2 linked regions of the Schizosaccharomyces pombe genome follow. The gene in region 2 interacts genetically with the main gene of each other region. Each region holds a gene or a part of one and is shown on either strand. Other genes may lie near its edges.

The links. Genes that interact genetically often act in the same process or in processes that back each other up.
Region 1: mutations in arg11 (region 2) and php5 together harm fitness more than expected from each alone (negative genetic interaction), as found in Schizosaccharomyces pombe (one large-scale study listed by BioGRID).

Annotation. Positions count from the first base shown.
Region 1 is NC_003423.3:3,393,375-3,398,073, forward strand, and holds php5 (CCAAT-binding factor complex histone fold subunit Php5), read right to left. Parts: upstream 3,133-4,699; 5' UTR 2,327-3,132; coding exon 1,982-2,326; exon of another isoform or gene 1,937-1,981; coding exon 1,907-1,936; exon of another isoform or gene 1,849-1,906; coding exon 976-1,848; 3' UTR 530-975; downstream 1-529. Other genes in the region: mitochondrial [2Fe-2S] cluster assembly NADPH-ferredoxin reductase Arh1, read left to right, coding at 4,254-4,460, 4,543-4,699. UniProt on the Schizosaccharomyces pombe protein: Component of the CCAAT-bound heteromer, php5 is essential for DNA-binding activity. It is essential for transcription activation of cyc1. It is the linchpin that binds to the subunit association domains (SAD) of php2 and php3 to bring these proteins together.
Region 2 is NC_003424.3:2,269,368-2,274,742, reverse strand, and holds arg11 (N-acetyl-gamma-glutamyl-phosphate reductase/acetylglutamate kinase), read left to right. Parts: upstream 1-2,018; 5' UTR 2,019-2,066; coding exon 2,067-4,724; 3' UTR 4,725-4,835; downstream 4,836-5,375. Other genes in the region: ornithine carbamoyltransferase Arg3, read right to left, coding at 1-731; DNA-directed RNA polymerase III complex subunit Rpc2, read left to right, coding at 5,221-5,375.

The DNA of each region.
Region 1 (4,699 bases), on a different chromosome or scaffold from region 2:
ATTAATATTTAATCGTTACGTTTCCTCTCAATGTTATGTTTGGCTTACTAGGGGAATTCGTTATTATCGACAAGTTTAGTCGATAATTTGTTAGCAGCGATGTCGCAACTGATAGTTTTAGCAACTTTTTTTACGTAGTTTTTTTCTGCAGAACAGAAGTTGCTTAAAAGCTAGTAGATGCCATTCGTTGTTGTTTGGGGGTAGATTAAAGAATTCTAAGCTTTAGTATAAGAATAATTTGTTTCTCCTCTTTCTGCCTATCTGTTGTTCATAATCAACTGCGTAGTTCTGGTGAAGGAGTAAATTAAACTGCCTCGCACCGCCGTACTCATTTTTACCTCGAGTATGGTGGCCGTGGAATGGTGGTTTTTTATGCAGTCGGGAATGAAAGCAGCTGTAATTTCCTTGCATAATGAGCCTAAATACCTTTTTACATAGAAGTTAAAATTTATGAGATTTTAAATTAAAAAATCATCAAAAGTGCAAATTTTCAAGTACATATACGAATAAATTTAATTATAAAGTAAACCTAAACGTTGTTTAAAGCTAATTGCTTCTTGGTAACCGATTGCAACATGCCATCATTTATTTACATTGACAACCCGTAAATATCCATAATAGGTAGAATGTTATCGACAATGAATTTCAAATGCATATATATGTTTAAGTAAAACAAAATACTCTACACTAGCAGTCCCGCAATGGGAAAATAAAGAGGCAGCAAATATGAAAAGCTTCCGTCATTTCTTTTTCGGTCTTGCTAAAAAAATAAAACCACACATAGCTTAAAAAAAGTAACAATGACTAGACATAGCATGTCATGAAAATCAACTGTTTCTTTAAGCTTTTGTAGATAAACCGAAAATTGACAAATTGAAAGTTCCACCTAAAAATGCATCACTGTTGGATCCTCCCAAATAATTTAATAGAAATTATTTAAATTGCATGTTCTAAATCAACAGGTATTAAAAGATATTACTGGGGTTGTTGCGAATAGCGAGAAAGAGGGTTTTGTTGCTGGGAAAACTGCTGATGCATTGGGTTTCCCTGACGCCCTTGCTGAGTTTGATACATCATAGCGTTTGGCTGTGAATAAAGTCTCTGTTGCTGATCGAATTGCCGAGGAGATCCAGGTCTTCTTGACATACCATATGCAGAAGGATCAAACATTTGAGACTGTTGCATATTAGGTCGCATATTACCTTGAAATTGGGGCATTTGATATCCCATAGGGGATGACTGCAATCGGAAAGCTGAGGATCCAGATTCGAGATGCGTAGGTGGATAACGGTATAAATGCTCAGCCATGTACGGTGCTACCATGACCGGTCTTTGCATATTCATCTGGTTAACATTTCCGGAGTTATCTGACATTTGTAGTTGTGGATATTCAGAGCCCAGACGCTGCTGTTTATACATAGATTGATCAATATCTTGCATTTGCTGCATTCTGGATGGATGAGAGGAATACTGCATTGAAGGCTGACTTGACTGTTGATTTGAAAATGGAAGTTGACTACCAGTTGGCATTGGAAACCCTTGATTGGGTAAGCCAGCTTGAGTGGGGAAAGGTTGTAAACCATTCATACCACCCATAGCAGCAACTTGAGTAGCAGACATATGAGCTTGACTGGAAGATGCGCGGGAATTATTGTTATCTTTAGATATAATATCAATTAAGAAATCATACATTTCAGATTTTGATACTGCATTTGCAATATCGGATCTTTGTAGTGTCCTTCGTTGATTTTTTTTGGCATGAAGCCAAGCCCTCATAGTAAGCTCTGCAATAAATATCTCACTTCCTTTAGCGAACAGAAAAGGAGCTTCTGCCGAGATCATTTTATTCTAAAAAAATTAGTAAAAGTTAATGTCAAAAAGTATTCGAATACTCAAAGTAACGTACCTTCACATCATCGTCAGTTTTCATAACTTTCTGCATAATCAATAGTTAGTAATTAATTCAGAAAAAGTGGCATACCTTAATACGAGCTAAGGGAAGATGCAGAGTTTTTACAGCTTGATCGTCATGTTCCAATGTATCGATGGTTTTTTGCCAATATTCAGCAAGGGCTTGTGCATCACTGCCAACAAGACCTTGAGTAACATTATCAAATGGACTAGCAACCTCAATGGGTGCACTAGCGTTGTAGTGATTGACAGCAGTTGGATCAACATCGGGGACTGGTTGTTGGAAGCGAGAAACAGAATCTTGACCATAACCTATCCGTACCTGAGAATTAGGATTGCCAGAGGGATCAACATATTCTCCTAAACCTTCGGGAAAGCCTTGTTTCAAGGAATAGGAATCAGGAATAGAATTCATTTTGCAATGAATCTTAATTGAAAAACGAAAAAAAGTCTACAGAAAGGCAATTTAGTTTAAAAAGAAAACTGGAAACGTAAAGGCCTTTGCCAATTAGATAAGAGATCAATGCAATCTCACTGGTGACAGGTTTAAAAAAACGACAATGACAAAAATTGTAACTATGCCGGGATCTAACAAATACCAGTTTCCTAAAAACAAAGCTGTTAAAGAAACTGACAATAATTTAAGCTAAAGAATTTCAAATCGAAAATCTAAATATTAAGAGGCGATAAAGATGCGGATTAAAGAAAACTTCCAATACCTTGATGTACAGCTTAACAAAATCGTAACCAAGATAAGTAGAAATAAAATAGAAAGGGAGCGGAGTAGTCTCCGGTAAAATGGGGAATTAAACTTATATGAGAGGTGAGCAGGAGACGAAACAGGGAAGTAAAACAAATTGACGTCAAGTTGAAGAGTGGAACGGAAAGAAAAAAATAAAAAGTTTTACAATCGAAAGGAACACGAACGGCTAAACACGAGGCTTAGTTGCAATATCTAAAAAGATAAATACCAATCGTCTTAATTCACGAAAAACTCGTAGAATGAGTAAGACAAAGCAACAAGTGCAGTTACTAACGTATCTCTAACACATTAACTTCTTAAAACAAAGAACTTCAATAAAGAACACTAGTAAAGCACCTTAACTCGTCGAAGTGTCTTGAATTATCTATGTAGCGTATTACACCTGGCTTAATTAAGTATATAGAGTGCAAAAACACTCAATATAGCGAAAATCGGTACGATTGAATTTATTGGTGGCTGGCAGAAGATGGTTGGCTGTCACACAACTTATTGATGGAACCGGTTTATAGTACCACATACTTTGTTTCTACAATTGCTAAAACACTTTAACGACACGTAAATATTCATTATTTGATATACATAATTAATGTTTTCGCGGTAGTAGATATAATACTATAAACAATAGCATGTGCAAATATTATTCAGTAATTAAAGCAAACAGAATAGAAAATACGTATAGTAATTGACTTCAATCCAGGAATTACATTAAAATACATCCTTGTTAATTGAATCTTACGCCTTTTTAAAGTCCTCGCAAAGATAAAGCTTACCGCGTTACAATTTGTTGGTCTTACAACAGTTCTTTAAACGTGAAAGAGTAATTGACCTTTATAAATAGAATTATTTTGAATGTAATAAATTCTTATTTTTTGTTTTATCATTATAATAGTAGGAATTAGAAAACACTTTCAAGTAGCTAGGTTTAGCATCTTTATAAATAAGTATGATTGAATAAGCAGAGATTAATTATTTTTAAGAAATTTAAATATATCGTTTTCAAATTAACCATTTGAGCCACAATCATCTAACTAGTTATTTGAAATATCATAAAAAAATCATTGCAGAAATCAGTTTGAAGCTGCTTAAGTCACTCATAATAACAACATAAAACACTTATTTGAAGGTTTGCACTTTACTATATGAGATGTTTGTTGCTGGTAATATCGTAAGCAACGATCAGCAAAAGTTCTGTTGTAGCGTTTGATTCAACTTTCCTGTTTGTAATTACCTTTGATTTAATAAGAAATTTCCTTTTTCTAAATACTGACTGATCTTATCATATAAATGCTTTGCTCTCAAAAGGCTTGGCTGCTTGAACCTGACCACTCATCCAATGCTATAAAATTCACTAGTTGTATAGGTGTCACCAAACAGTTTATTGAGATTAAACATTTAAAGCTTTAAAACTAATGAATCAGTTTTATTAAGCATTGGTAGCTTTTCTTTTCGTTTTGAGGAGAGTCCAGTTGTTAATGATAATTGCTGCTAGTTTTATATCAGATTTACAATCACGAAGATATCCTTCACTTCTTCATTTCAATCATTTTTTGTTTTTCTTTCATCTTAAGGCTAAGAAAGGATGCTATCACGATTCATTAAAAGAACATATAGCACTCAAACTTCTTCACCTGTAGTCGGCATCATCGGTTCTGGGCCGGCTGCTTTTTACACAGCCCACAGACTCTTACGAAATGACCCAAATGTCAAAATAGATATGTTTGAATCCCGCCCAGTTCCATTTGGGCTTGTACGTTATGGAGTTGCCCCAGATCATCCAGAAGTTAAGGTAAGTCTGTTAAGCCAAGAAATATTGATTGGTTTAAAAATGGATCTTATTAAATTTATTATACAGCTAACCTCTATTGTAGCATGTAGAACACAAGTTTTCCGAAATTGCTGAGTCTACACAATTTCGCTTCCTTGGTAACGTAAACGTTGGGACTGATGTTTCTTTACGGGATTTGACTAAAAATTATGATTGTTTGGTCCTTGCCTATGGAGCTGCTGGGGACAAGAGACTGGGAA
Region 2 (5,375 bases):
TCTTGACCCATAGAAATCCAAGTGTCGGTAACGACGATATCAGCATTTTTAACAGCAACCTTGGGGTCGTTAACAATTTCAAAAGTAGAACCGTTTTCGTTCGCAGCTTCGTTAACGATTGATAAAATATCGTCGCGAACGTTGACGTCCTTGGGCTTAGCAACGCTAGTATGAATACCAACCTTGGCATTTGCAATCATCAAATCATGTAAAACGTTATTGGCATCACCTACCCATGCAACTTTTAAACCGTCAAAGCTTTTGAAAGTTTCCTTAATAGTGAGTAAATCTGCTAACGCCTGGAGAGGATGAAACGTGTCACAAAGACCATTAATAACAGGACAAGAGGCATGTTTAGCGAGCGTAGCAACATCTGAATATTTGTTTACGCGAGCAACAATACCAGAAACCATACTTGATATAACTTTTGAAGTATCGTATAAAGACTCATTCACTCCTAATTGGATATCATCTTTACCTAAAAACATGGCATTGCCGCCAAGGCAACTGACAGCACTTTCGACTGATACACGAGTACGAGTGCTACGCTTACTGAAGATCATGGCGACATTCTGAGACGACAAACCACTCATTTGAACAGAACGGCGATTCTGAAAATTCTGCTTATAAGCTTGTTTAATTTCAGAAGACCGATCGATCAACTTTACAATCTCTCCGCGACTAAGATCACGAATGGATAGTAAATGACGAGGAAATTTTTTGAAAGACATTTTCAATTGCAAACTGAATAATTCTTCTCGACTAAATATATCAAAAATACGGTTTTTGTAGTCGACTACAAGGAACCCACAAGTTACTGGTAATTTCTTAGATATTCAGGGTGAGATTGCATATAGCCGATATCTAGTTCTCTCTCAGACTGCGAGATTGGCGCCGTAATATATCGTATGCGGATTTTCGACGAGATGGAAAATTTTTACATTATCGTACACTAGAGTTCAGTTGCAAACAAGCTAGTACGTTGATGAAATATGATAAAACAAGTCAAAAATTAAAAACTACTCATAAACATTCTATTTCCTTTCTTTTTCTTATGTTATTCATGGTAATATTGATACAGAACGTCAGAATACTTATCAGCAATAGCTTTTAAATACCAAAATCGTTAATTGATTAGCAGTAAAAGAATATTCATGGGTTTAGCATTTAATTATAGAACTAATGAAAAGGGATGAATTTTTTTCGACCTTGTAATATTTTTTTTATTTACCACCCATTCTTTAAAGAACCAATACATTGTAAATAAAATGTATCTAAAAAACGTGTAGTTATTTTTTTTGTTTATTCAATTATCTCTTGACACTATATTCAAGCGAGCTGAAATAAAACCAATTGTGTTACTATATTGATAACTCAGCATGCTTGTGAAATCAACAACTACCATGAAATGAACAATGAGTTCACAGATTCGCTATATTACAAGCTTACACTTACAGTATTGCATAAAGCGAAACAAGTTTTAACGAAAGAGAAGGGCTTCTTGCCAAATTTTTTTTTTTTTTTTTTTTTTTTTTTTTTTTAACGAGATTATCTTAGATAATAAATTTTATGATAAGTGCTTTTGTCTCATCAGGGTCATTGGGACTATTCAACGCGAAATCAAATAGAAAACAAAATATTGTTTCAAAAGAATGCTTTCATGTATAAATCAAGATATTGAACTGGCTTGCATAGAAATAATGAATATTGTACTGTGTCAGTTAGGACTAGTATTAAATAATGTATATACAAATAGATTCATTGTCGGCAAATGAGTTGCTTTTACAGTGTCATTTATATAGCTTTAATTCATTAAATGTCCATGTCTCACGTTTGCAGCACTTTCATGTAAACTGTTGGTTTCCGATGTAATTTTCAGCCAACAAGTAACATTATCGATCTCATCTTTTTGAGTGATTATCTCCAGAGCAAATCCCTAGATACAGCAATCAAATTTTAACGAATTATAGCTACGTTTACGAAGCAAATGATTTTCCAATTTTGAAACCAACCAAACTGCCTTCTACCAACTACAGTAAATCATAGAATATCACTAGAATTTGGCAATGCTTATTGAATTGCAACAAATTGTCAAGTCCGGTCTTGTACGGAATGGAGCGAAACACTGTACGAAAAGGAGCTTACTATGTTCCAATGCATCAGTCATTGCAAGCAAACGTTTTCAAGGCAGTTTTGCCCCGGGTCAACAACAACCGTTAAACCCACTCGCGAAACCAATTGAACAAGATCGTGATGCCATCATTAGAATTCTTTCCTCCATCGGAAGCCGTCGTGAAGTTGAGCAATACCTACGATACTTTACTTCCTTCGAAGCTCAACGTTTCGCTATTATCAAGGTTGGTGGTGCCATTATCACCGACGAATTAGACACATTGGCACAAAGTCTTGCCTTTTTGAATCATGTGGGTCTTTATCCCATCGTTGTGCATGGCGCTGGTCCCCAATTAAACAAAATTCTTGCCAGCAGAAATGTTGAACCCGAGTATAGCGATGGTATTCGAATCACCGATGCCGAGACTCTTTCTGTAGCTCGTAAAGTTTTCTTAGAGGAAAATGCGAAACTTGTAGATGCTTTGGAAAAGTTGGGAACTCGTGCTCGTCCCATTACAGGTGGTGTATTTCAGGCAGAGTATCTCGACAAAGAAAAATACAAGTATGTTGGCAAGATTGTCAAGGTAAACAAAGCTCCTATTGAACACAGTATTCGTGCTGGAACCCTCCCTATTCTTACGTCTATGGCCGAAACTGCTTCTGGTCAATTGTTGAATGTCAACGCCGACATTACTGCTGGTGAGCTTGCTCGCGTATTGAAGCCTCTAAAGGTGGTCTATCTCAATGAAAAAGGTGGACTTATCAACGGTGAAACAAAGAAAAAAATTAGCAGCATCTATTTGGATAGGGAGTACGATGGCCTCATGAAGCAACCATGGGTCAAGTATGGTACGAAGCTCAAAATCAAAGAAATCAAAGAGTTACTTGATACTCTTCCCCGTACATCTTCCGTAGCCATTATTAGTACGAAGGATTTGCAAAAAGAGCTTTTTACGGAATCTGGCGCTGGTACTTTGATTAGTCGCGGTTTTGTCATCAACAAACATGACTCGTTGGATAGCATTCCAGACGCTGCTCTAGAAAATTTGATCATTCAAAAAAATTCTTTAGCCGCACCTAGTGAAAGCTTGAAACAGTTCAAGGATACTCTGAAAGACAGAAAACTTCGTATTTATAGTGACTCTTTCAATGAATCTGTTGCTATTGTCGACACCACCGACTCATCCTTGCCAGTACTCTTAGCTTTTGGTGCCGCCGACAATAATTGGTTAAACAATGTTGTTGATAGCATATTAACAACATTAAAAGCAGACTTCCCTTCTTTGCTATGGCGTCTTCAACCTTCAGCCAAGAATCTGGAATGGTTCTTCTCTAAAAGCGAAGGTACTTTGTTTGCTAATAATTTTTACTACTTTTGGTACGGTGTAAAAGATTTGAATAAAATCTCCAAGTTCATTCAGTCTGACAAGCCATTTGCCGATGCTATCATTCAGACCCAATCCACTAAACCCCCTACTGCTTCATCTACCACCAACAACCCTTCCTCTTCACAGATCAATCAAAAACGAAGTTACTCAACTAGTTCTTTATTTTCAAAAAACAAAAAAATGAATCGTTCTTTGTTTTTAAAGGGTGGAAAACGATTTTTTTCTGCTGAGGCTCAGAAGACCCAAAAACCTTTGAAGGCGGTCTCATCGAAGCCAGCAAAAGTCGTTCTCCTTGGAGCCCGTGGTTATACCGGAAAGAACTTGATTGGATTGATTAACACTCATCCTTATCTCGAATTATCTCATGTTTCTTCTCGTGAGTTGGAAGGCACCAAACTTCCTGGCTACACTAAGAAAGAAATTCAGTATGTCAACTTGTCCACAGATGATGTTAAAAAATTAGAGGAAGAGGGAGCGGTTGATGCTTGGGTCATGGCCCTACCCAACGGTGTATGCAAACCTTATGTCGATGCTTTAACGTCTGCAAATGGTAAAAGTGTCATTGTTGATTTAAGTGCGGACTACCGTTTTGAGCCCTCGTGGCAGTACGGTCTTCCTGAACTAAATGACCGTGAAGCTTTGCGTAACTCGAAACGTATTTCCAATCCTGGTTGTTACGCTACTGGATCGCAAGTCGGTTTAACTCCCATACTCTCTTTGATTGACGGCCAGCCCTCTATTTTTGGTGTATCTGGTTATTCTGGGGCTGGCACTAAGCCCTCTCCGAAGAATGACTTGAATGTATTGACAAACAATTTGATACCTTACTCATTAACTGATCACATCCATGAACGTGAAATTTCTTATCGTTTAAAGCAACCTGTCGCCTTTATTCCTCACGTTGCTCAATGGTTCCAAGGAATTACTTTAACTATTAATGTTCCGTTAAAGAAAAGTATAACTTCCCGTGAGCTTCGTAACTTATACCAAGACCGTTATAATGGTGAGCCTTTAATTCATGTTCAAGGAGATGTACCTTTGGTCAAGGACAACGCACACAAGCATCATGTTTCAGTTGGTGGTTTTGGTGTGCACTCTTCTGGAAAGCGTGCAGTCATTGTAGTTACTATCGACAATTTACTTAAAGGTGCTGCTACTCAAGCTCTCCAGAATCTCAATCTGTCCTGTGGTTACGATGAATATGCCGGTATCCATTTGGATTGATTATATTTTTTGTAGCCCATTCTTTTGTTATTTTTATTCTTTCTGTGTACCATTTGGATATTTTTTTGTTACAAATATTTTGAACTAAATGCATTAATCCTTGCTATTAAATAGCCAGCAGTAAGTCGCGTACGAGTACCATCTTAAGTTTCCACACATTTTAATTTAGTTCTTGTTCAGTTATACAAAATTCCTCTGTCTGTGCGTCGCAGACTCTTCAAAACTTATATAAACAGATTTGAAGTTGCTTTCTATGGTATAGATTTTCATCAACGAAATAATTTTTGTACGTAGAATAAAGTGGTAAATAGTTAAGCTTCAATAATCTTAATTGCGTATAAGTTTTATTTCTTTATTTAAAATTATATATGTTACTTAAAAAATAAGCCCAAAGTAATAAGAAATCTCTATCCTTGCATTACTAACGCTTCCTCCATAAGTATATTTTTGGGGAGGAATTTTGCTACCGTCCGCCATTATCAACTAAGTGAGTTCGATGGGGGTAAATACTGCCGGAGACCCTCAAAAAAGCCAACCCAAAATAAATAAAGGTGGAATTGGGAAGGATGAGAGTTTTGGAGCCCTCTTTAAACCTGTTTATAAGGGCAAAAAGCTTGCAGACCCTGTTCCCACCATTGAAGACAAATGGCA